Styela clava: one gene and its partner. The protein of the gene in region 1 purifies or fractionates together with the protein of each later gene. This does not show direct contact. Links are inferred from orthologs where the notes say so. Each region holds a gene or a part of one and is shown on either strand. Other genes may lie near its edges.

Region 1 (10,279 bases):
ATTGAAAGTAGTAGCGTTACTAATCGCCATCAACATGATTGTCTTGCCTCATAACTCTTTGTCCACTTTCATCAAAATTTAATTATAAGAGTAACTGAAATAGATTGATAGATTATTATCCAATGCTTTGATTTTCCTCTGTTTATGGCTCAGTTCCTTACAATTATTGTATTGTTGTAGTAATGAAGAGCAACTCAAAAAATTGGTTCCAGTACTTAGAAGAATTGTTTATTAATAGCAGGGGTGTGCAACCTGTGACCTGCGGGCCAAATGCGGCTCTCAATAAAAAATTGTGCGGCCTGAGGAGAATTACAATTTTGAAATAATGTGCGGCCCAGGAAAAGAGTTTTTAATTTAATTTGGTACATGATAGTGACTCAAATGTCTTTGTGTTGTGAAGCGAAGCCTATACCTGAGTCCAATATGCTATCTATGCCTTAACAGCTAAAGCATGTCATAAGATCAATATCCAAAATTTTTGTGCCTGCAATTATTAGGTAGTGCATGTTATTAAATAAAGGTGCAGCCCACAGTTTCACCCTGTTATTTCTATATAGCCCTTCTGTATTGAAGGTTGCACATCCCTGACTTGTAGTATATGTTCAGTGACTTGGTGATATGTTTATGCTTGTAAATGTGATAAAAACTTTACACCACTTGTTTCAAGAAGATAAATTGAGTGAAGAGAATTTATTTTGATCTGCTGTGTGCTGTCTCAGCAGCTAGAGAATTATTACATATAATCTATAACAAAACTAGCTGTGTTTGTGCCCTCTTCAAAACTTGTTGTGAGGAGGTCCTGGGTGCATTTTTAATTGCAATATCCAATGCCAGAGGACATAAGGTAGTTTCTGGGATATTCATGCCTATATGGAGACCTTCATGTGTGTATTTTTATAACAATCTATTATGTTTTGCCATTTTGAATCATTGCTCAATATCGGTTTTATTAATATGTGCAATAACTAAATTTTAGTTTTGTTGTCTTTACTGCAATGGTGAATACTTAGATCTAGACTAGATAACCTGCTTCTTGCCTGTTTTGTTTGTCTTTTTAAAAGGGTAGGCGTAGTTTTGTTTTCAGTAAATTTTGATGCTGAATGATAACATTGATTTCATTAAATGTTTGGAATAAAATTTGTGATTTAGGGGTTAGTGAATGAACTGAACATAAGTGGCGTCTGCAATTCTTATGGCATTGATGAAAATATTTTACAGATCTATGTTTTGTATGCATCAATGTTTGACTGTTCAAAAAATTTGTTAAAAGATTGTATTTATTATTTTTTTTTTTTTTTATCACGTAGAGAATTCTATTGAAGCGCATATGAAGAATTATGAAGGTTGTTTTAAATAATTCTATTTGAGTAGTGTGGGCTATTTGGTATTGCTTATTCCTGTGGTATAATTTTAGTAGATTCTTCATTTCAGCATAGTGTATTCATTCATATTGTGTTATACCCTTCATGTGATGTTGGTAGATTTGCATACTTGTTTTTAGAAAGATTGTCTATCTCTGCGGCTTATTATTCTTGCACTGTAGACATGTAATTTGTTGTATTGAGTAAAGTATTATATGGTGTTTGTTTTTTGATTTCGATTTGAATGCTTAGTAAATGTCAATCTCTAGACTTCGTTTTTTTCTTTTGTGATCGGGGCTACAGGTTTAGTTTAATCAAGATGCGTATGTGTGCGGTCCTGTTGCTATAATATGTCCAGCCTCAGCAGCTTAGTTTGGCAAAGTGCAGGGGTGTTTGCTTATTATTCATAGGCAATTCCTTTTTTAATGTTAAGTTTTACATTCATCATTTAGTTGGTCAGAGCATTTCTGCAGCACGATAAACAAATGATTAGTTGTGTGATACACTGTCCTTCCCTCACAAAGTTGCTTGGATGAAATTGAATAAAAAGTTAACAGACTTGTTTCCGGAGACTAGACTTCTCTGTATTTGCTTGGCAGTGTGGCGCATAATGATGAGCGTCAGGGAATAGACTTGCCAGCACACCTCTAATTACCCTGGGGATAACCATGTGCGAGAGGATTGCTAGACTCCTCGCCGTCGCAGAGTGGTTCACTAACGGCATCCTCAAGCATGAAAACAAATAACTACCTGACATCCTAACTAATCCCATACCCGATATTAGACTGGTAATCGGACTCGAGAACATGGTTCGGCATATGATTAAGCTGTCCTATCGGCTTCCGTCTGACGCGGGAATTTCGATATACTTTTTACTACTATAATTCAATCGTACAAAATTTTCGGTCTTTTTTTTTTAATTATTAATTTTGAATTAGATCAAGATTATTAATCATTTTTTAGAATTTTGAATATCATGGTTTTAATTACCACCATTTGAAAAAGTCATATTGTCTATACGAATTATAAAATTTCATACATTTTTTTATTTTTTATTATTAATAAAAACATCACTTTTTATCCACATAAACACATAAAAATAACACATAAAAATTTCATACATTCTATTGATTTCTATTACTGGAGTGCATTGAAGCGTAAAGTCTGTGGTTTCGTGCGATCAAATTCTTGAAAAATATTATTCGGAACTAGGTTTGTCATTGTCATGACGAAGCGACGCTTTCTGGAGTTCTGCATTCTTATAAGTGAATGCCTCTTGTATATAAGACATTTTTGTGGCTATTTTTTGATTAATGCAAGCAGGAAGGTTATTTTGTTACGAATTGACCCAAACTACTTCAAGTACCATTTTGTGGTTAAAAACTATAGGCCTACTTAGTTATCAAAATTCTACCATGTCCAATGTCATAGAGGTCGTCACCAATGTCTGAATGTCAACTGAAAATAGGGGTCTCGTGTAGTTTCGTACCTAACGTACTTCTAGTGGGCGTAGCATGACAATATTTTAATCCTAACCCCCATCTGACTACGCCATCCAAAAATTACCGTAAAACCGGCTAACTTCGGATGATTTCACTATATTTTGAACAATATCTCCGCCGCATGTTGTTCAACTGAAGCCAAATTTGGAATATAATACATTGTGGCTATTCTCGTCTTGATAAAGTCGGTTCCATACCCATCAAAGCCTTTTTTCATTGAAATTATTGTCTTTATTCGTCTATTCTAAAATTATCTAACTTCGGATGGCCACTTTTCTCTTTGCGTCAACTCGTCGTGAGAGAGAAATGTCTGCGTAAGCAATGACGCGTGACAACGTCGCTGAATAGACCTTACGCCGCCACGACCCGTCTTGCGTGTTGCATACTGACGTTTGTACGTGACGTTACTCTTGCCGCTTCGCGAAGCTTAACTATTTATTCTTGTGTCCTTTATTATAACTCGTATATATTCACTAACTACTCCTAATTTATTGCAAAATGCTAGTTCGTTCTTTTATGATCGTTTATTTTCAATGCAAGAAAAGGATTAACAAAAAAAAAAAAACGGAAGAATTGAAAGTACCTAACACTGGTGTAGGTTGAAATTGAAATGCAATATGGAACAAGTAGAGAATGAACAAAAATTAGACAATTAAAAATAAACGGATGAATCGAATGAAACACTGGCAAAAGTAAAAATTGAAATCAAAAAGCAATATGGAACAAGTAAGGTATGAACAAAAATTCGACAGTTAAAAATAAACAAATGAATTGAAGGAAACGTTGGCAAAATCAAGAATTGTAATCATTTCCACATGGGTTAGACGGGTCTTTGCAACAGTTCTTGTGGAACCAATGTGTTTCGCTGCAGCTTTCGCAACCGACATCCCTGCTCTAACATCAGCCATAGCCTTTTGCAAGTCCTCGCTATTGCAGGAGTTGTAAGTTCGCTTTGGCATCGTATTGATAGATCAGATTTAATGTGTTCACAGGTAGATAGATAAAGTCAAATGACAATAAACGGATAAAAACGGCAAAAAGAAACTTCGCCACTTTTTTTCATTTTGCGCCTCACCTGTATGTGGTCCAACCTCCTGCTGTGTGCATCTATGTAGAGTTCTACGCTCACCTGTTAAAGATATTATTATCATCTGCCGAGCGTAAACAGACATATCTAATCATTATGATCGTATAGATACATGTTTCAGGCCTAACGTATTACCAATTGCTACGGTATCTATCGGTGTCGGAGGAAGTATGCAAAAACAAAAATCGACAAATTTCACATGCATTAAGCGTATGCATACCCATATTTTTAAATAAACAACATATGACTGAGACGATAGTGATGTTTTTGTAGGATTTAGTGACTAGGATCATGGATAAGCATAATTTTTAAATTTCACAAAACTGGGCGCCGCGATGTCTGGCGTTCAAATGTCTCAGCGAGTAACGCACGAGCTACGCAAAGTGACGTCGGCTACGAAGAGAGAGAAAGGGATTTGCGTCGTAGACGTCACGCTGTACGTAATCATCAAAACGTCGATATTTTGATGTAATTTTTAAATCAAAATAATCGATTTCACTCGAATCTCGTACGACACCCTGTGATCACTGTATTTTTTTGTATACATTGTGTACGCTCTCTAGCGCTTGGCGGTGATTTGACGAAGGTAGCGTCTGTAGAAGTCACGATTTGAGCCGCTCGAAAAAACGGTGTCATATTTTTGGTAAAATATGATTTTTTGAATGATATAAAATCAAATCGAGCGATTGGAGGCTACGGCAGATTCAGATATGTAAGGCCTTACTATAGAAACCGACAGAAGCGCAATACGACAAAATTTAGTTGAGATATGAATGATTGAAAATTTCATCCGAAGTTACAAGGCATCCGAAGTTAGCCGGTTTTACGGTACCTCACTACGACATCACAATCACGTCATAGAGCTTGCCAAATACGGTATACGAACAATCGCCCGAAATGGCATTGGCGCCGACGATAAAGAACTGACTGACAATATCGATCTCTCTCCTATTGGAATCGTTGCGACGAGAAAACGAGAGAAATAACTGCAGAACTGTTCGATTTCGGGTGCTTGCGCGTCTTGGATGGCAGTTCGTATAGTTTGAAGGGCTCTATTACGTCACTGTGACGACGTGTTGACGTAATTTTTGGATGGTGTAGTCAGGTGGGGGTTAGGATTGATTTGTGAATAAATTGTCATGCTACGCCCACTAGAAGTATGTTAGGTACGAAACTACATAAGACCCGAAAATAGATTGGTGTTTCTCGGACGGTCGACTCTGGAATTTTTGGATACGAAATGGGCCTATGGATAATTTTTTTATTATGTTGTTGTTGCTTTTCTTATTGTTGTCTAAGGGATTCGTTTTTCACTTTGAATTTTTGTATGACTGTATCTTGCAGTCTTGTGATGGCGTCCACGAGTGAACATGGTCGCATCTCAACAATCTGGTGGTCAGACTTCCAATACTGTAAAAGATGTTAAAATTATTGGAATTCCGTACCCCCATTCGACAGTACATTATTACTGGATTAGGAATAAATAGGTACTGAATTAAGCGACTAGATCAAGTCAACAATATTCCAGTATTCTGCTAGACTTTTCAGCTTGGTATTGTAACAGGTTAAAACGAGTGGCTTAAACAGGAAAGTGAGACGGTTATCTAAAACCTTAAAAGCTACTAGGAAATCATAATGGATAAATATGTGAGGGTGAAGAAAATTGGAGAAGGATCATTTGGAAAAGCCGTTCTCGTGAAAAGCAAAGAAGATGGCCTACAATACGTGGTTAAAGTGTGTGACAATTTTTATAATAATCTAACTATTTTGTTTGAGCATGTTTCAAAAATTCTAAATGTTGAAATGCTAAAATTTTACACGTTCTACAGGAAATTTCAATTTCAAAAATGCAAATGAAAGAAAGACAAGAAGCCCGAAAAGAAGTCGGTGTATTGTCAAAGATGCGACATCCAAATATTGTGCAATATGTGGAATCGTTTGAAGGTGAAGCTTGTCTACTCTTTAATATTATGCCCTTAAATGGTTCGATGTCTGAATTTGTCATGTTTCAGTGTTCATGTGTCAGCACAGTTCTACAATTCCAACAATAGCCCCATAAATTTCACTGTCGCAATCGAGAGTTTTTAGCCAAAAACGAAACTTTGGTCACATGACGACCTTAAATAATTTAAATGTTGGAACATCTTCGAATCAGAGAACTGTGCCCTACTGTGTGTGGTTTCAAATTCAAATTTCAAAGTTATCCTTTTTGTTAGGAATGGGATCTGTGCATAAAATTGAATACTACTTCATGACTGTATTCAAAAGATATCAATTATGTACAGAAAAGTTACCAATAGAATTTGTGCGCATATGAGTACAGTATAGCTTTTGGCAGAATTTGTTGGTTTGTATATAATATGAATTGTTTTTTTAATTACACTAGAACCGTATTATAGAAATATAAATAATATTTTTTTGCATTGGCAACACCTTTTTTTTATTATTCATCTTCAATTCCCTTGTAACTCAATATAATATCTTCATCTTGTAAGACTATAAGATTAGCTCATTTTCTTTCAACAATATCTATACATTATATGTATATAGTTATACCCTGTGATAGAGATGGCAGTTCATAGTGCTTGGCATTTACTTTAAAGTTTGCATTGTCAAGTAAACAGTGAATTATCAAATACATAACATAGATTTATTCGAATGAACTCATTTGATTCATTGAAGGGTGAACAAACAACAGAACTACTTTTGCATTTGAAATAGTTTACTTCCCCTAACAATGAGAATTTTGGCTGGATTATGACTTATTGCTGCCCTTAGCGAAGTCTTTTGGACATTTTCAGGATAAATATTGGTTGGGAAAAAATATCTATGAATTTTGTCTTCTTTGCTTTGAAATCGTTGAGATCAAAATCGATCTTATACCAGGAATTTGCTTTTTTTTTTATAATAGGCTATATTATTCTTTTATGTGGTCAGTTGCTACATTTGCAGTGTCTTGCATTGAGTCAAGGTGTGAGAATACTTGATAAAAAATTGCCTATTTTTTGATAAACCTTACGTTCAATTTTTCCAGAGAGTGGATGTCTTTACATTGTGATGGAGTATTGTGAGGGAGGTGATCTGTATGCAAGAATTAATTCACAACGTGGGATGGCGTTCTCGGAAACTAAAGTTTTGGAATGGTTTGTGCAGATGTGCCTTGCATTAAAACATGTTCATGATCGAAAAATTCTACACAGAGATATTAAAACTTCTGTAAGTTCGAGCTCTGTATGTTACAATGTGATCGAGAATTACTTGATATTTGTTATTCTGACAAACTCTTAAAAGTTCTGTAACTTCGAGCTCTGTATGTTACAATGTGATGAAGAATTACTTGATATAGTCAATTTGATACACCTTGTAGCTATTGCTATGATATACATAATTCTCTCCATCTGGATTTGAATCGACGCAGAGTAATTAGAGGTGCGGCGACGAGCGTATTCCCATTGTTTCGCATGATTGTCTTTTAAAAATAACTACTCTGACCTTGACTACCGACCTTGTGTTGAAAAAATTTTTGGCTCTGACTCGAGCTCTAAATTCTGATGAAACCAAATTTTGACTACAAATACTGTGGGTGTATTCATGCTTCCTGTTAATTCTATATCAACAATGCTTTAAACCTAATTAATGTGTTTAGGTTTTTGTTGAACCGTTTTTTATGTCCATTAGAAAATTAAAATACTAACTTCAAGGAATGCTAACCCTGGGTGAGGTGGTGGGTATAGGGTTAATTACACATTTTTATTTTATTTTTTTCAGAATATATTTCTCACAAAAAGTGGAGCAATTAAGCTTGGTGATTTTGGAATTGCCAGAGTTTTAAACAATACACTTGAACTCGCGAGAACATGCATTGGTAAAATTGGTATTTTTTATATTATTTGAAATGAAGCATTACAATAATAGCATTTAAAATTTTATCTAAATATTAAGTTTTTTGTTATCCATAGGCCATCCATTTCAGGCATCCCTAGGTAAGATTTTGTTTGAAATTGTGTTTTTTCACAAGGAATTTCAACACACAATGCTTATTTTAAATATTAAGAAAACGCTTACTTAAACAACAATAATTATTTAAATATGTACATATTAAAGATTAAACATGATAAAGACAAAATATAAAATATTTCTGTGTGCAATGAGATCATGAAAAATTGCGCATCTTGTGGCGGTTCTACTTTTGCGTTAGTTTTGAAGATTGCCATACCTATAATCTACTGTAACAAATTGCTACCCGTAATACTTCGTTTTGGACATTGTCCATATATTTTATTTGAATCATTCACTGTATTTCAAAAATCCAACTACATCAATATCGTTTCGGACATTGTCCATATATTTTATTTGAATCATTCACTGTATTTCAAAAATCCAACTATATCAATATCGTTTTGGACATTGTCCATATATTTTATTTGAATCATTCACTGTATTTCAAAAATCCAACTATATCAATATGCTATATCAAATACAATTAATGTCAAATGTATTCGTATGACCGATTAATTTTAGACATCCCTGATCATGCATGTATGAATCATTATGAAAGTGCTGAATAATTTTCGCTTCAGGAACACCTTACTATCTGAGTCCTGAAATTTGCGAAAACAAACCTTATAATAACAAGAGTGATGTTTGGGCATTGGGATGTGTTTTGTATGAAGTTCTCACATTAAAACATGCATTTGAAGCTGGAAATATGAAGAATCTTGTACTGAAAATTATCAGGTAACCATACTGTACATATGGTTTTAATTCATGCACCTCTGAAATCATAGTTTGAGTATGTTGCCAAATTAGGTAATAATTATGAAATAAATAGCTGTGTGATAAAAAAATCACCAGTTTGACATTATTGTCTGATTTTTGACCATCACAAATTATGGGTTTGCAATATTTCCCCTGATCCTGATTGAACTGCTTCAATGCTTGCGGCATTTGGTGCCAAGTAATTAAACCATCATTAATATATTAAGTTTCAGTATCTCTTGGCATTTCAGTAATTACCCAGTGTTCACTCAGAGATGAGTGTTCCTTCTAAGTGAGTTTGAATGAGCAAATTCTCCCAAACATGAAAAAAAATCCCATAGGGCCTAACGTTTATGCGATACATATTGATATACAATTCATTTTATTATGTATATACATTTAATGTAGCAATATTAATCGAATTCAAATAAATTGAATTTTTGATAACAAAATTTTTTAACGCAAAATAATAACTATCAAAGCTTAGTCTCTATCTCCTATTTTTACCATTCAATGTCCAACACTTTTTTCCCAGGGGATCTTATCCTCCAGTTCCGCCTCGGTATTCATATGATCTTCGGGGTTTAGTCAGTCAACTGTTTCGACGAAATCCTCGAGATCGACCATCTGTAAATACAATATTACGGCAACCATTTATTAAGAAACATACAGTAAAATTTCTGACACCTGAACAACACGAGGATGAATTCAGTCACACAGTTCTTCATAAGAATAGAAAGCCAAATCCGAGGCCAATATCTGCTCCAGTAGCTGCACGTGAGTGGATTTATAGAATTTCAGAATATTTTGAAATGAATAATATCTTCTTCTCAGTGATTCTTGAACACAGGACAAAGTTGATATCAGAATTATTCATACATTTATCTTTGCATATTTGCTTGATTTAGTGGAACTCTTAAAATAACCATAAAAATTAAAATTTTGTAAAGGTAAAGTATAGGAAAATTTTTTCTGGGGTCAAGGGGTCGGGGGTCGTTCACCACACCTTGTCTCTGTATCTTGAATTTAGGCGATATAACAACTATCTTAAATGAGTAAAGTAGAAATCTACCTCTCACAGTATTCTTCTTTGTACAAAGGTAAAAAACCTGATGATAAACCTAAAGGTGTGAAAAGTCCTGTTGATGCTCGAGCAAAACAAATAGCAGGAATATATGGACCATCTGTTGCAGCACCCAGACCAAGCAGTGCTGCTGTCAGATATAGAAGACTCGCTGAACAGAAAAAGAAAAGTGAATATGAAATGGAAAAGGTTATACTTTATATATTGTTTGCTCAAAGCATGATCTCAAAAAATAGATTGAGATGATTAGAGAGGGTGAATTTAATTGATTTCAAGTCGATATTTCAGAATTACGATTAATAGGTTTGTTGTGCATCTGACGAAGCATTTTCAAAAATGCTCGTAATCTGAATTGATTTTTTTTTTGTTGAAATTTTCCATTCTAGCAAACTCGCTGTTTACTTTTGACTGGCTCCAGGAAATCAATTCCTACAGATTTATTTTGCAAAAATGCATCTATTTGAAATTTCAGTTATTTGAAATGAAA
Region 2 (11,410 bases), on another chromosome or scaffold:
TCGTTTACATGAGCGGTATTCCAACGCGGCGTAACGGTACATAGCAGACATGATGTGTACATATTTTTGGCCCGAAAAAGTGGATTTTTTAACATTCCTAATTCATGACAGCAATGTTTGCAAACAGCCAAACTCAGGATAGTTGAATAGATATAGAAATTTTGTATATTTGTTTTACTAGGATGTTCTCGATCTATTAAACCTTCATAAAGAATTTTCCAGTTTCTTCTGTGTGTTCATTGTTTATGTTTTGTGTACGATTTTTTTGCGGGAAAATCAAAATATACTTATTATACTTATATATTCTGCGATAGAGATAGAATTTAATATTCAAGTCTTCAAAAAAGATAAATTTTATTGTTGGATGAATTGAATTCCAAACTTTTGTGAATTTATTGTATTGCATTGACAAAAATATTTGTCCGGCCGTTTCAACACAGTTTGAGTCATACCCGGCCGCGGTCACCCTGATTTGGATCAAAGCACTACTGTGCATGATTATATTGGCATGATAAAATTTATAATCAAGATTTATCTTCTTATGTTGAAACAAGGCGTTAAAACAAGGCAATATAGGGTTCTGCCAAAGCTTCCTCTTTCACAAAAAGGAATATATCCACACCTAGAGAATCTTTAATGCAGACAGTATAGCACTGAAAACTTTTGTTTTAGAAATGACCATGCCTGCATTGTACTTGCCGATCATCGTTATGCAAAAATGAACATCAAATCCGAACTACCATCATGGATTTCTGACAAACTACAAGTTGCTGACAGATTTGGAATTGCATTCGGTGCTGTTCGAAAGGTATATTTCCAGCAATTTATGTATACTGCATTCATACAACCCTTTTATTACAATCAATCGAAGTCTCTCGTGATGATGAAAGTGTTTATTCTTTTGCAGTTTTTCATGGACAAGAAGACTGCAAGCAGATGAAATGATAGCGCAATTGATAAGAATGCTAAAAAGTATCGTAATCACAAATTACATTCCATTTTCAACATTCAACAGTACATCCCCCAATTTAAAATAGATATGCTTATTTATCATGATAGCTATGTTGTGTTCAATAACAGTTCCAGTCTACACCAATTATATTTACAGAGCAGATATTAAGTGACTACTGCATTTCGAAAGCAGCAAGTATCGTAGGAACGCAAATATTTTTGCACAGTGAGACAGACGGAACAATATAAAAATATATATGAATACACCTATAAGCTACAGTGAGGTTGTCATGATCTCCTTGCCTGCCTGAACAAGCAGTTTTTCCAATATAGAGCATGTCCGTAGATCGCAATTGATTATTTCAATCTGCAAGCATGGTTTCATGTGATGTATTCACCCCTTGTGTCATATCTTCATGGTTTTCCTGAACAAAAAAATTGACTTTTGGTGTTGTCCCATACAACTACTTTAAAATCATGTTGATTAGAGAGCTGTTTCAACTTCTTTTGCCCAGCAAGGGCACAGAATTCTAGACTATCATAGTCAATAAAAAAGCCTTCATTACCTCATGACTCATATTTTCTTCTCTGTGAATACTGTGCAATCTGTCTTGGATAGCATCTTGCAATGTTCGTAAGCTTTCTTCATCCAGTTCTTTTACCAATGACAATGTGGCAGAGAGAATGTTGATACTAGCTGTACTCTGTCCTAATGTTTCTCTTTGTGTATTTCGAGCTGTTGATTTACTTGTAACAATCTCTTGTTGTTGTGGTAATGGTCTCAATCCCAACTGTTTTCTCAGTTCACTGTCATTAATTAAGCGTTCATTCAAGTAGTCAGTATATGTTATCGGCTGTGTATCAAGTTTTTTCGACTAGGAAATATTTATCAACTTTCTAATATCCAAAAAAGATTTTTCACACGAACTAAATCTCGTATAATTTAATTAATAACCGGCAAAAACAAAATTTTGTTACAACTTTTGTGGGTGGGTTGGACTTTAAATTGTGTTGGCATCCTAGGTTCAAACCGGAAAATTTCGGTCATGCAAAAATTGTAGCTCATTGAATGTCATAGTATATTATGAGTGACTGCTTTTACTGGACTTGTTTAGAGTAAAAGGCATGAATATCTTCAACCAGCATCTCATCCTATGTTCCACCTCAACTATCATAGCGCATTACTATTTGATACAATACTCCTATTACGCTCTGGTATGGAAAGCAGACTAAGTTTTCCTTATTATACTAACTTTGTTTCATCCACTGGACAGTGATTATTTTCTTTGTTGTAGCCGGAATACTGATTTTCAGATGGTGAAAGTCTAGATTCTTCTGATTCTTTTTCTAAAAACATGTCATGGCGAGAACTGTTTGTAACATTAGATTCTCTTGCATAACAATAACTTACCTTGTTTATCAGATTCTGTATTTTCTTGATTGTCAATATTATTTACGAGGTAACAATTTACAGGAATAGCTTTATCTTTTGATTCATTTGTTTCTTCTGGGATGCTTTCTGGTTCCGTCAATTCATCACCTTCCTTTTTTGCTTTTTCTACCTCTTCAGCAGTGACAACTGCAAAGAAAAGTGACTGGATTTAAATTCTAGAACTGGTAAGCAGACAGGGGTTGTTTTTAACTGTATATAAAAATCAACCTCTGACAAGAATTAATAATGTGTCCTCACCTACATTGTCCAGCTTAGCAAGCATTGGCAGCACTTTTAAAACTGTTAGTCTGTATTTTGTATTACTGATGTCATCACAAAATGGGTTGTCCGAAAGCCAAAGAATCCTAAAAAAAAAGGCTAACTTAAGGTAAGCTTAGTACTATATATATTCATACATGGATCCTCTTTGTGCCCAATAAGTAAATAAAACATACAATTATCATTATTGTTTCTTTTAACATATTCTATTACATATATAATCCTATTTATTAGTATATGTATAATTGAGAAGGTTACATACAACTAATATTCAATAAAGATACCTTAATTCTGTTAGCTCTTTCAAATGGAGAACTTCATTCAAATTCTTTAAATTATTTTTCCTTAAATAGAGTTCTTTCAAATTGCAGCAATGCGATAAAGCTTGAAGGCTTTCAATGTTGTTTGCACTAAAAATAAAAAAAAGAATTTCAATCCACTATAAGATACTTAAATTGTTACACATTAATAACAGGAAATTTTTAAAAGTAAATAATTGAGATAAGTTTGTAACCATGCTTGAAAATAAGCGCCAACTTCCAATGAAATGGAAATCATGAGATCCAATGAATCCATCAAAATGAATCAATCCAATGAAATTTTTCGGATTGTAAAATATCTGCAGAAAAAATAAATACCGGTATGCGATATAAGCACAAAAATTTACGAGAAATGTAACTAACCTGGCGTTTATCACTTCAATGTTGTGCATTTTTCGAACAATTGTAATCTACAAAACATTAATAATGAGACAGTATAGCTATAAACTCCAATATAAAAAGACACTCAAGGTTCCATATGGATAGAAGTAAATAAAGCAAAGCATGCTTGGAAAAGTCAGTTTAGACGAGTTCAGTAAAATCTACAAAATTCTTCAAGAATCGATAACATCTAACAATTTTATGTATAATTCCACTAAGTAACTCTCACTATAAAAGATTCCGAAGATAATTCAAGTCAAATGGAACTAATCAAGACTATTTTACACTGGTATAAATGTGAAATATTTCGAGAGTGATAATAATGATTTATTTTATACACCTTACTAGGTATCATAAAATACTTACATCTGAAAGAGCACTGCCCCTGAAAAAGATAACATCAATTTAGCTATAAATCACTTTTGATTTGTGCAATGAGTTAAAACTTGTTTTTATTAGTACTGGTACAGTAGTATCTAAGGCTATAGAAATTTGAAACATTGCTATTCTATCCAGTATATTCAGCATCCAGTTTACAAAATTAATGAATGACTAGGGGCCTATACAGATTCTTACCAACAGTTTAGGTTCTTTACAGCACCCAAGCTTTTAGATCTTGCTCGTGCCAGCACTAGCTTTTCTGTGAGTTTTACCATATCTTTGTCATAAAGTAATCTTCTTATTAAAAAGATTGTGAAGCAACCTTGTTATTGATTGTATTTCTTCCAATTTTCCTCAGGTATTTTGGAAAAAAAATATTCTGATATTGGTGATACCGGTAGGCCTATTTATCAAAGTTAGTAATGAACTGAATAAAAAACAATAAAAAGTTGCCTATTTATTATACCAAATCCCGGTATCGTTAACTCCACCAGATCATAGGCTACTAGCGGCACCGGGTTCACCGGGAATTATGATTCCACAATGTGGATTACGGTACCCGGTACCGGTATGCAATAAATAAAAAACATAAAATAATAAATGAATAACAATGACCAAGTATACATAAATAACAAAACATTTCATTACAGTCAATTGATTGTATTTTCCATAGTTGAAATTAGTCACAGGTCACTATACAAGGCTACATCGCCGACCAGCGTACCTTGGTCCTTGGCTGCCTGGCTACTGGTAAATATAAATACAAAATCCCCAATGTTTGACTTGACCTTTGACACCGCGCCCTGTATTTTTTTTATGCAAACAGTGGTTGGGACTGGGTTTAAAATTTTTGCTAGTTTTTAAGCGCCAACTTCCAAAAACACTATTATAATAAGCACCAACAACTTTGCAAATATAGGATCAATTTTTCTGTGGTCGGAACTCGGAAAGCATCCTGAAGGTATATTTCCACACGGAGGCACTATTGAGCAAATGTACGCGTGTGGTTATTGTGGGTCCAGAGGAACTGCCATCGTTCAGCGAGCTTCGCCTTGCGCACTGAAGACGTGTAGCCTATTTCAATTAGTTTTGAACGCTTGGATTAGATCCATTACGGTTGTCCTGAAGCTAAGCTTTATGTAATTGCCATAGTATGCATAGACATATAAATTATGGGACCGTACAAGTACGGCGTCGGTAATTAGTTACCATACCAAACCCTTTTTTAGCTCACTCTGGTACCGTACCTTACCTCTGGTACCGTACTCTGGATATTGCATTTGGCTACTGTCAGACTGTGTGGTAAATTCAAATTTCAGATTGTCTGCATTTCTAGTAGTCTGAGTAGTGGTACCGTAACTTTTGTCAGTAAGCAACCGTCATCTTATTCAACGACTGAACGAGGAAATACCAAGGTACCGTACGCTGGTCGGCGATGTGACTAATTAACAGATTAAAGTTTCATTCAAATCAATTTCTTTTAACTTCCCCACCATCTTACGGTACCGGTACTTCTGTGTGGTGGTGTAGCCCACCGTGCTGAGCGTTAGGAAAACGCTCGCCACCGCACCTCTGAATTTTCTGCGTGGGTTAGCAGGTTCGAATCCCACGCAGGGATGGTTAAGTGCGAAAGGATTGCTGGATTCCTCGCCGCCGTAGAGTGGTTTATGTAACCGCAGGTCGGTTACGGCTTCCTTCATCAAGTCCATGCTTTCGAAAACAAATAGATTAACTAACTAATTCCATACCCGACATGAAATGGTAACCGGATGAGAGGCAGTGGTTCGCCATATGGCAGTGTGGTTAAGTGGTCTTATCAGCTTTCCTCTCCCCAGGATAAATATTTAAATCCTGTCGTAGTTATTAATAACCTAACCTTTGACTTAATGCAGTAACGCATGGCTGTGTGTATAAATGTGAAGATTTCACCAAACATTATTTTATTCTAATTCAATATCATAGAATTTCTTGATGTCTTCAGTTCAATAATTTATATGCTAGACCTGTAATCTGTAAAATGGGGAAGAAAACTCAAAGAACGCCAGAAGAACTCACACTTGAAAAAAAGAGAAATGAAGAATTCAAAGACAAGATTCGGGCAAGAAGAGTAAGTAACAACGCTTATAATATGATCATCATGACTGTGTGTGTAGAAGGTGATTTATACATGTAAAATGGGTTTTGAACATCCAATTCGAAATAAATCATGGATTAAACTTATGAATATGTTTAGATTAAATTAAAATAATGTGGTTAACTATTTAATTGTTGCCTCAATGAACTCATCAATCAAATCAAAATCACAGCAATAATTGGAGTCTCATTGTGTTGACAACTTATCTTCACAATGTTGACAACCATATTTCCATCAAAATTCAGGTCTGTTACACTCTAATACAATATTAATATCATTAACAATTTTCTCTTTGAAGGAAAAATTAGAAGCAAAAGGGAATCAACGGGGAGTTGTTCTTCTCAGTCATATTCCACTTGGGTTTTATGAACCACAAATGTATGAATATTTTTCTCAATTTGGAAGAGTTACAAGGTTAAAATTGATTCGGAGCAAAAAGGTTGGTCGTCAACTATTTTGTATATTTATTTTCATCTGTTCCAGGAAGTTATTTTTTATCACTGTTTGTTTCAGACTGGGAAGTCAAGACAGTTTGCTTTCATTGAATTTCAATTTGAAGAAGTTGCAAAAATTGCAGCTAAAACAATGAATAACTATTTAATGTTCCAAAAAATATTAAAATGTAAGTATACTTTATAGTATTATCAATTTTGCATTATCTTTAGTACCGGTATATCTCTATTTCACTGATTTTGGTAACCATGCTTAAAATTGTGTGAAAATCATATTTTGGTAAAAATTGCAGGCAGACTTATTCCTTTGGAAGAAGTGAAACCAAACACATTCAGTAACTGGAGGCTTATTAAGCGTGTACCTCAAAGTAGAACAAAAGATATCAAGAGACACAATCAAGATGTAACTGATCCTGAAAAGGTTTGATCAAACTTAATAGTCATCTTTGCCAAAATAAAATGCATGGTATTAAATTGCAGAAAACTGCTTCGAGATTTGCAATGAATTGGACTTTGACAGGTCCACATTGATTTTTAGTTTCGTTGACATTGTAATTCCTCACTGTTTTTTTTACAGATCCAGTTAAAATTAAAAAGGCTACGAAAAAGAAGAGGACTATTAAACAAAAAGCTTCGTGAGATGGATATAGACTATGATGTTATGAATGTAGGACAACAATGCCATTTTTATGATACTTGCTAAAATACCTTGTCCTCAAACTACAATCAGATTTCTTTTACTCAGCTTGTATTTGTGTATTGTAGTTCCGTATTGTGGATAACTTTTTAAAATTATAGATTTCTTCAACATGGTTTATATTACATCAGATCATGTAATGGTAAAGGTCTTATTTTCATTATCAATAGATATTATTTCAACTTGTTTGTATTTTATCTACAGATTAAAGTAAACGACTCATTTGTTTCCCCTGAAAGAACCCGTGCTTCTCCTGAAGAATTAGCAGATGTTTATGAGCCTATTCCAGGTACCATATATATTAAAATGATTGTATGCTGAGTGTTTTGTCTATTATTATAGTTAAAGCAAGGATACTCTAGCTTTGTAGGGTATAAATTGAGAAGGCATACGCTCAACTCAACGCTTCATCCATTACCTACAGAGCTGCTTCTTTATCATGTCGGCTCAAACTGCTTCAATGCTAGCGTCAACTGGCATTTAACAACATATTTCCTCATCTAAATATTAATATCCCAATTTCATATTTTCGAAACTTGCAGTAAAAATGATTTTTTTTCCAAAATTCAGATTCCATTGGAATGGAGTATCGGTATTCTGATGGTGAAGATTTTGATGGCAAACGCTCAAATACAAAGAAATTGGGAACTAATATAAAAAAGAAGGAAGAATCAAATGATAATAAAACTAGTGATACATCACTGGAGAATGGACCTAAAGTGCAGTCTACTGATACAAAAAGTTCAATGACCAAAGTATGCTGATTAACTTGAGTTGTTAATATTGTGCAGAATCATGGTTTCATAGGTCAAAAAGTATCGATTTATAAATATGTACATTATCAGTTTTGGCTTTTTTCAATATCTGAATATCTTATTTAGCTTTCAGGTTTCAAATGAGGATAATGATAATTGAAATTCTATAGTTGAACAAGATACGACTTGTATGTCATAGGTCAATGGGACAACTTCATCGTCTATTCTACAGCCTCTAGTCAACAGTCCATGTCTGATATGGGAATGAATAGTTACTTGAAAGTCACTGTAGACCCAATTATCTCGATGTTGCAAGTTACATGATGCTCATTAAGCATTGGCTGATATTATAATCAATCATGTTTACTTATTCGTGTATGATTTATGATAACATACCATTCTAGTTTCCTCATGAATTTTTACTTTAGGATGATGAGGAATTTGGTGTTATGGTTGTTGACCTGGAAGATCCAGAAGTGACTTTCAAAAGTCCTCCAACGAAGTCAAATATAAAACTAAAGTCTGTTGGTGTTTCTAGTACAAGTAAAAGAAAGCGAACGGAGCTTGCTAATGAAGATAATTCAGTTATTGAAACATCGAAGGAATCTGTAGATAACACGCCACTTTCTGCAAAGCAGAAAAGATTGTTGAAAATTGAAGAACTGAAAAATGCTTTAAATTCAAAAGAGGATGGCGATGACTCTCTAAAAAGTGAGAAATCTGGGAAAAAAATCATGAAGTCTGTTGAGACACCAACACGCCAGATTAGGAAAAAGTTACCAAGAAGTGCAAAAAAGCCTAAAATCAAAACAGGTGCTAATTCCTTAAATAAAACCATGTAATTCCTTTACTGTTATGGTAATCCTTTTTTGCTTTCAATGGTCACTGACTTGAGAATGGAAACAAACGTTTGGAATCATAGGTGATACCTGAGAATAATGCTAATGCACCCTAATGGCTAATATGAATAAATTGGCCCAATATAAATTGGTTGATAGTATGTTTTTGTGCGAGTTCAATAGGCGTCTGGTCAAAATTAGAGATTTTGAGCAAATTTGTATGGTGGTCATTAAATATAGATAAATGCTTATTGTTGTGTTTGAGAAATTAAGTTGGCAGCACTGCCACTCCACAGGCAGGAATGACACAACAGTTTTTGGACTGTAGTTCGCATCGGTGGCAGTCGAGTTCTGCAATTAAACGAAAGGTGATTGGGACCTGTTAGCCTTCATTCAAGATATACTGTGTAGATATACCCTCAATACCTCCCGTGTTACTGAAATTACACCCCCGCTGGGAATTCTGCAGCATGTTTGGGTAAAAACGAGGAGAAATTTCTCTGCTATCGCCACAAATATTTTATGGCTATTCCCAGGACTTCCCCCATTTTGTATATGTTTTAACAAACCTTTCTAAATCTTCGTCTTTGCTTCTGGAAACTTAACACCTTTGATCACCTTTTGAAATTGCAGGAATGTTCTGATTCTTTGAATGAGTGTCCTGCCATTACTCACATCTATAATTTTCTAAAAATCATCAGTTCCGGAGTTACACAGGTTGCAATTCTTAATCATGTAGTAATTTTCATTAACATTCATAAAATCTTATTTGCCACTTAGTCCGATATAATGCAGACACATAACCACGCTTTGCATACGCGCGTGAAACGAAATAGGTTGTACACAATCACTAGATATGCAGTACTTGAAGTCCACAAATAGAAACATGTTGCGACGAGAATCTTGCAGGTTCTTTGCGGATAGAATTTCCTAATAATAAATCAAGTATTTATTTTGACGCTTATTTTCGGAATCCTCTTTATTCATTAACGCTTAACCTTAAATCAATCTAAACCAGTGGTTTTCAACATTTTTTTATTCCGCGGAACACTAAATCATAGTATCACAAGGTCATAATAAATCATCATCGAAAATAGACGATTAATTAATAATTACGGTCATTCATTTTGTCTTAGATATCGAAAAAGATAGATAGCTTATTGACTCTAGTTGGAAAGAGACGTAATAAATTCAAAACGAGAATATCGGTCAGAGACGAACACTTATCGATCGAAAGTTAGGGGATCCCCAAAACAGCGCTCTTACTCCATAGTGGCACCTTGTGTCCCATCACTAATTAATAACTCGCTAATTATACGGCATAATTCATCCAAAATCAATATGCTTCTGATCCGAGATGTGATGAATGCATATGCAAAATTTGGAGCGGATTCGCTTTCGTGAGATATCGCGTGTATCTAACAGACAAACACCTATCAACATACTTACCGATCTTAAGATCGATAAGTAATTAGGATACGAAGAGCTTAATACGAATAACACTTTATCAAAATCGGTTCACAAAGAGCTGAAATAACTAAACGAGAATTGTCTGAGACAGGCTTTGGGTAGCTTGTAATAACGATGGCATTTTAATGTTATATTTTGGCTTCTTTCGTTGGATGCGGGTTTTCTCTTTTATTCAGGGATTGAGAAAAGAAAAACACGCAGTTATTCTTCAATGTTTTTTATCTTTAATTTTGCTATCTAATCGTGATCATTCGATTTCTACTTTTTTTTAAAAGTAAAACACTTTAACCGGGTAAAATTACCCGGTTAACCGCAGCGTGATGCTTGACACTATAATTTTAGCCTCGTATGTCACAATGGTTCCGAAGCAATTTCGCTAATCTTATCCTGGTATCGCTCAAAGTTCTCAAGGATTAGGATAGTTAATGATCGCTCTACTGAATGGTTTTTAACCTCTTTTCTTTCATCAGTTGCACAAATAAATCTATGGCCCCCCGACTTTCCCATTCAAGGGAAATACTTCAAAATGAACAAAAAGTTTTTTCGCAAAGATAGACATTTCCACGTTATTATTATTATTTAAAAGAGAATTTCCAGCTAAAGAGCAGCAGCACCCACCATTCATTGCTACAACAATCGAAGTTTAACTAATTTATCGTTAATTCTGACAATCTTTAATAGGTTTGTGGCTAACCTGAAAGTGTTTCTATGGCCCAGAAGTGGGTCATGGCCAACTGGTTGAAAACCGGTGCTCTGCTGCAAGAATGCTGCGTATATCGGACAAATGGAAGTATTTTAGTAAAACCCCATCGCGTTATTAAAAGTCATGCATGTGACAAAAATTCAGTGTTCGATGTGAAACTTCTACTTTGAGCTTGAGATATTCAACACGACCAGAAATATTAATTTAAATCTTTCGTCACCACTTTCCGAATATGTCAATAGGCTAACGGGGTTAGATAACTATTAAGCCAAATAAGCACGTGTTTAGGGCATCAAGAAAAAGAGGCACCCCAGAAATTTTCATAGTCGAATTTTTAATGGCCTCTGATTGTTTAATGAAATAATTCGAATTGGTCTAACGACTCAGACCTCAATATTGTCCCGGTTAAAATAAATTTTTTCATACTGTAAATGTTTGTAGGAATGGGAACGATTTCCAAAAAATATGCGAATTATTCATAATTTGGCCTTCAAACAGTAATGACTACTGCTCATTTATTGGACACGTCAGTGTACATAACGATCGTTTCAATATTATGTTGTTGTTTTTGGACACGTAGTGGACATAACGATCGTTTCAATATTATGTTGTTGTT

What was found.
Region 2: the proteins of serine/threonine-protein kinase Nek1-like (region 1) and cilia- and flagella-associated protein 410-like purify together in Homo sapiens (affinity purification with mass spectrometry; 3 studies listed by BioGRID and IntAct, with this or other methods). This does not show direct contact. The link is inferred for Styela clava from reciprocal best matches to the Homo sapiens genes NEK1 and CFAP410.

The regions. Positions count from the first base shown.
Region 1 is NC_135263.1:14,764,715-14,774,993, forward strand, and holds the start of serine/threonine-protein kinase Nek1-like, read left to right. Parts: upstream 1-5,164; 5' UTR 5,165-5,585; coding exon 5,586-5,684; intron 5,685-5,779; coding exon 5,780-5,894; intron 5,895-6,984; coding exon 6,985-7,166; intron 7,167-7,718; coding exon 7,719-7,815; intron 7,816-8,530; coding exon 8,531-8,687; intron 8,688-9,243; coding exon 9,244-9,485; intron 9,486-9,808; coding exon 9,809-9,981; intron 9,982-10,279. UniProt on the Homo sapiens protein: Phosphorylates serines and threonines, but also appears to possess tyrosine kinase activity. Involved in DNA damage checkpoint control and for proper DNA damage repair.
Region 2 is NC_135252.1:14,882,641-14,894,050, reverse strand, and holds cilia- and flagella-associated protein 410-like, read right to left. Parts: upstream 4,464-11,410; 5' UTR 4,020-4,463; coding exon 3,940-4,019; intron 3,749-3,939; coding exon 3,730-3,748; intron 3,393-3,729; coding exon 3,346-3,392; intron 3,073-3,345; coding exon 2,947-3,072; intron 2,749-2,946; coding exon 2,642-2,748; intron 2,531-2,641; coding exon 2,363-2,530; intron 2,299-2,362; coding exon 2,205-2,298; intron 1,759-2,204; coding exon 1,518-1,758; intron 1,377-1,517; coding exon 1,314-1,376; 3' UTR 941-1,313; coding exon of another isoform or gene 908-940; 3' UTR 876-907; downstream 1-875. Other genes in the region: ATP-dependent DNA helicase DDX11-like, read left to right, coding at 673-808, 908-940; uncharacterized protein LOC120342376, read left to right, coding at 5,762-5,851, 6,177-6,317, 6,392-6,500, 6,624-6,751, 6,908-6,997, 7,232-7,316, 7,598-7,782, 8,211-8,624. UniProt on the Homo sapiens protein: Plays a role in cilia formation and/or maintenance. Plays a role in the regulation of cell morphology and cytoskeletal organization. Involved in DNA damage repair.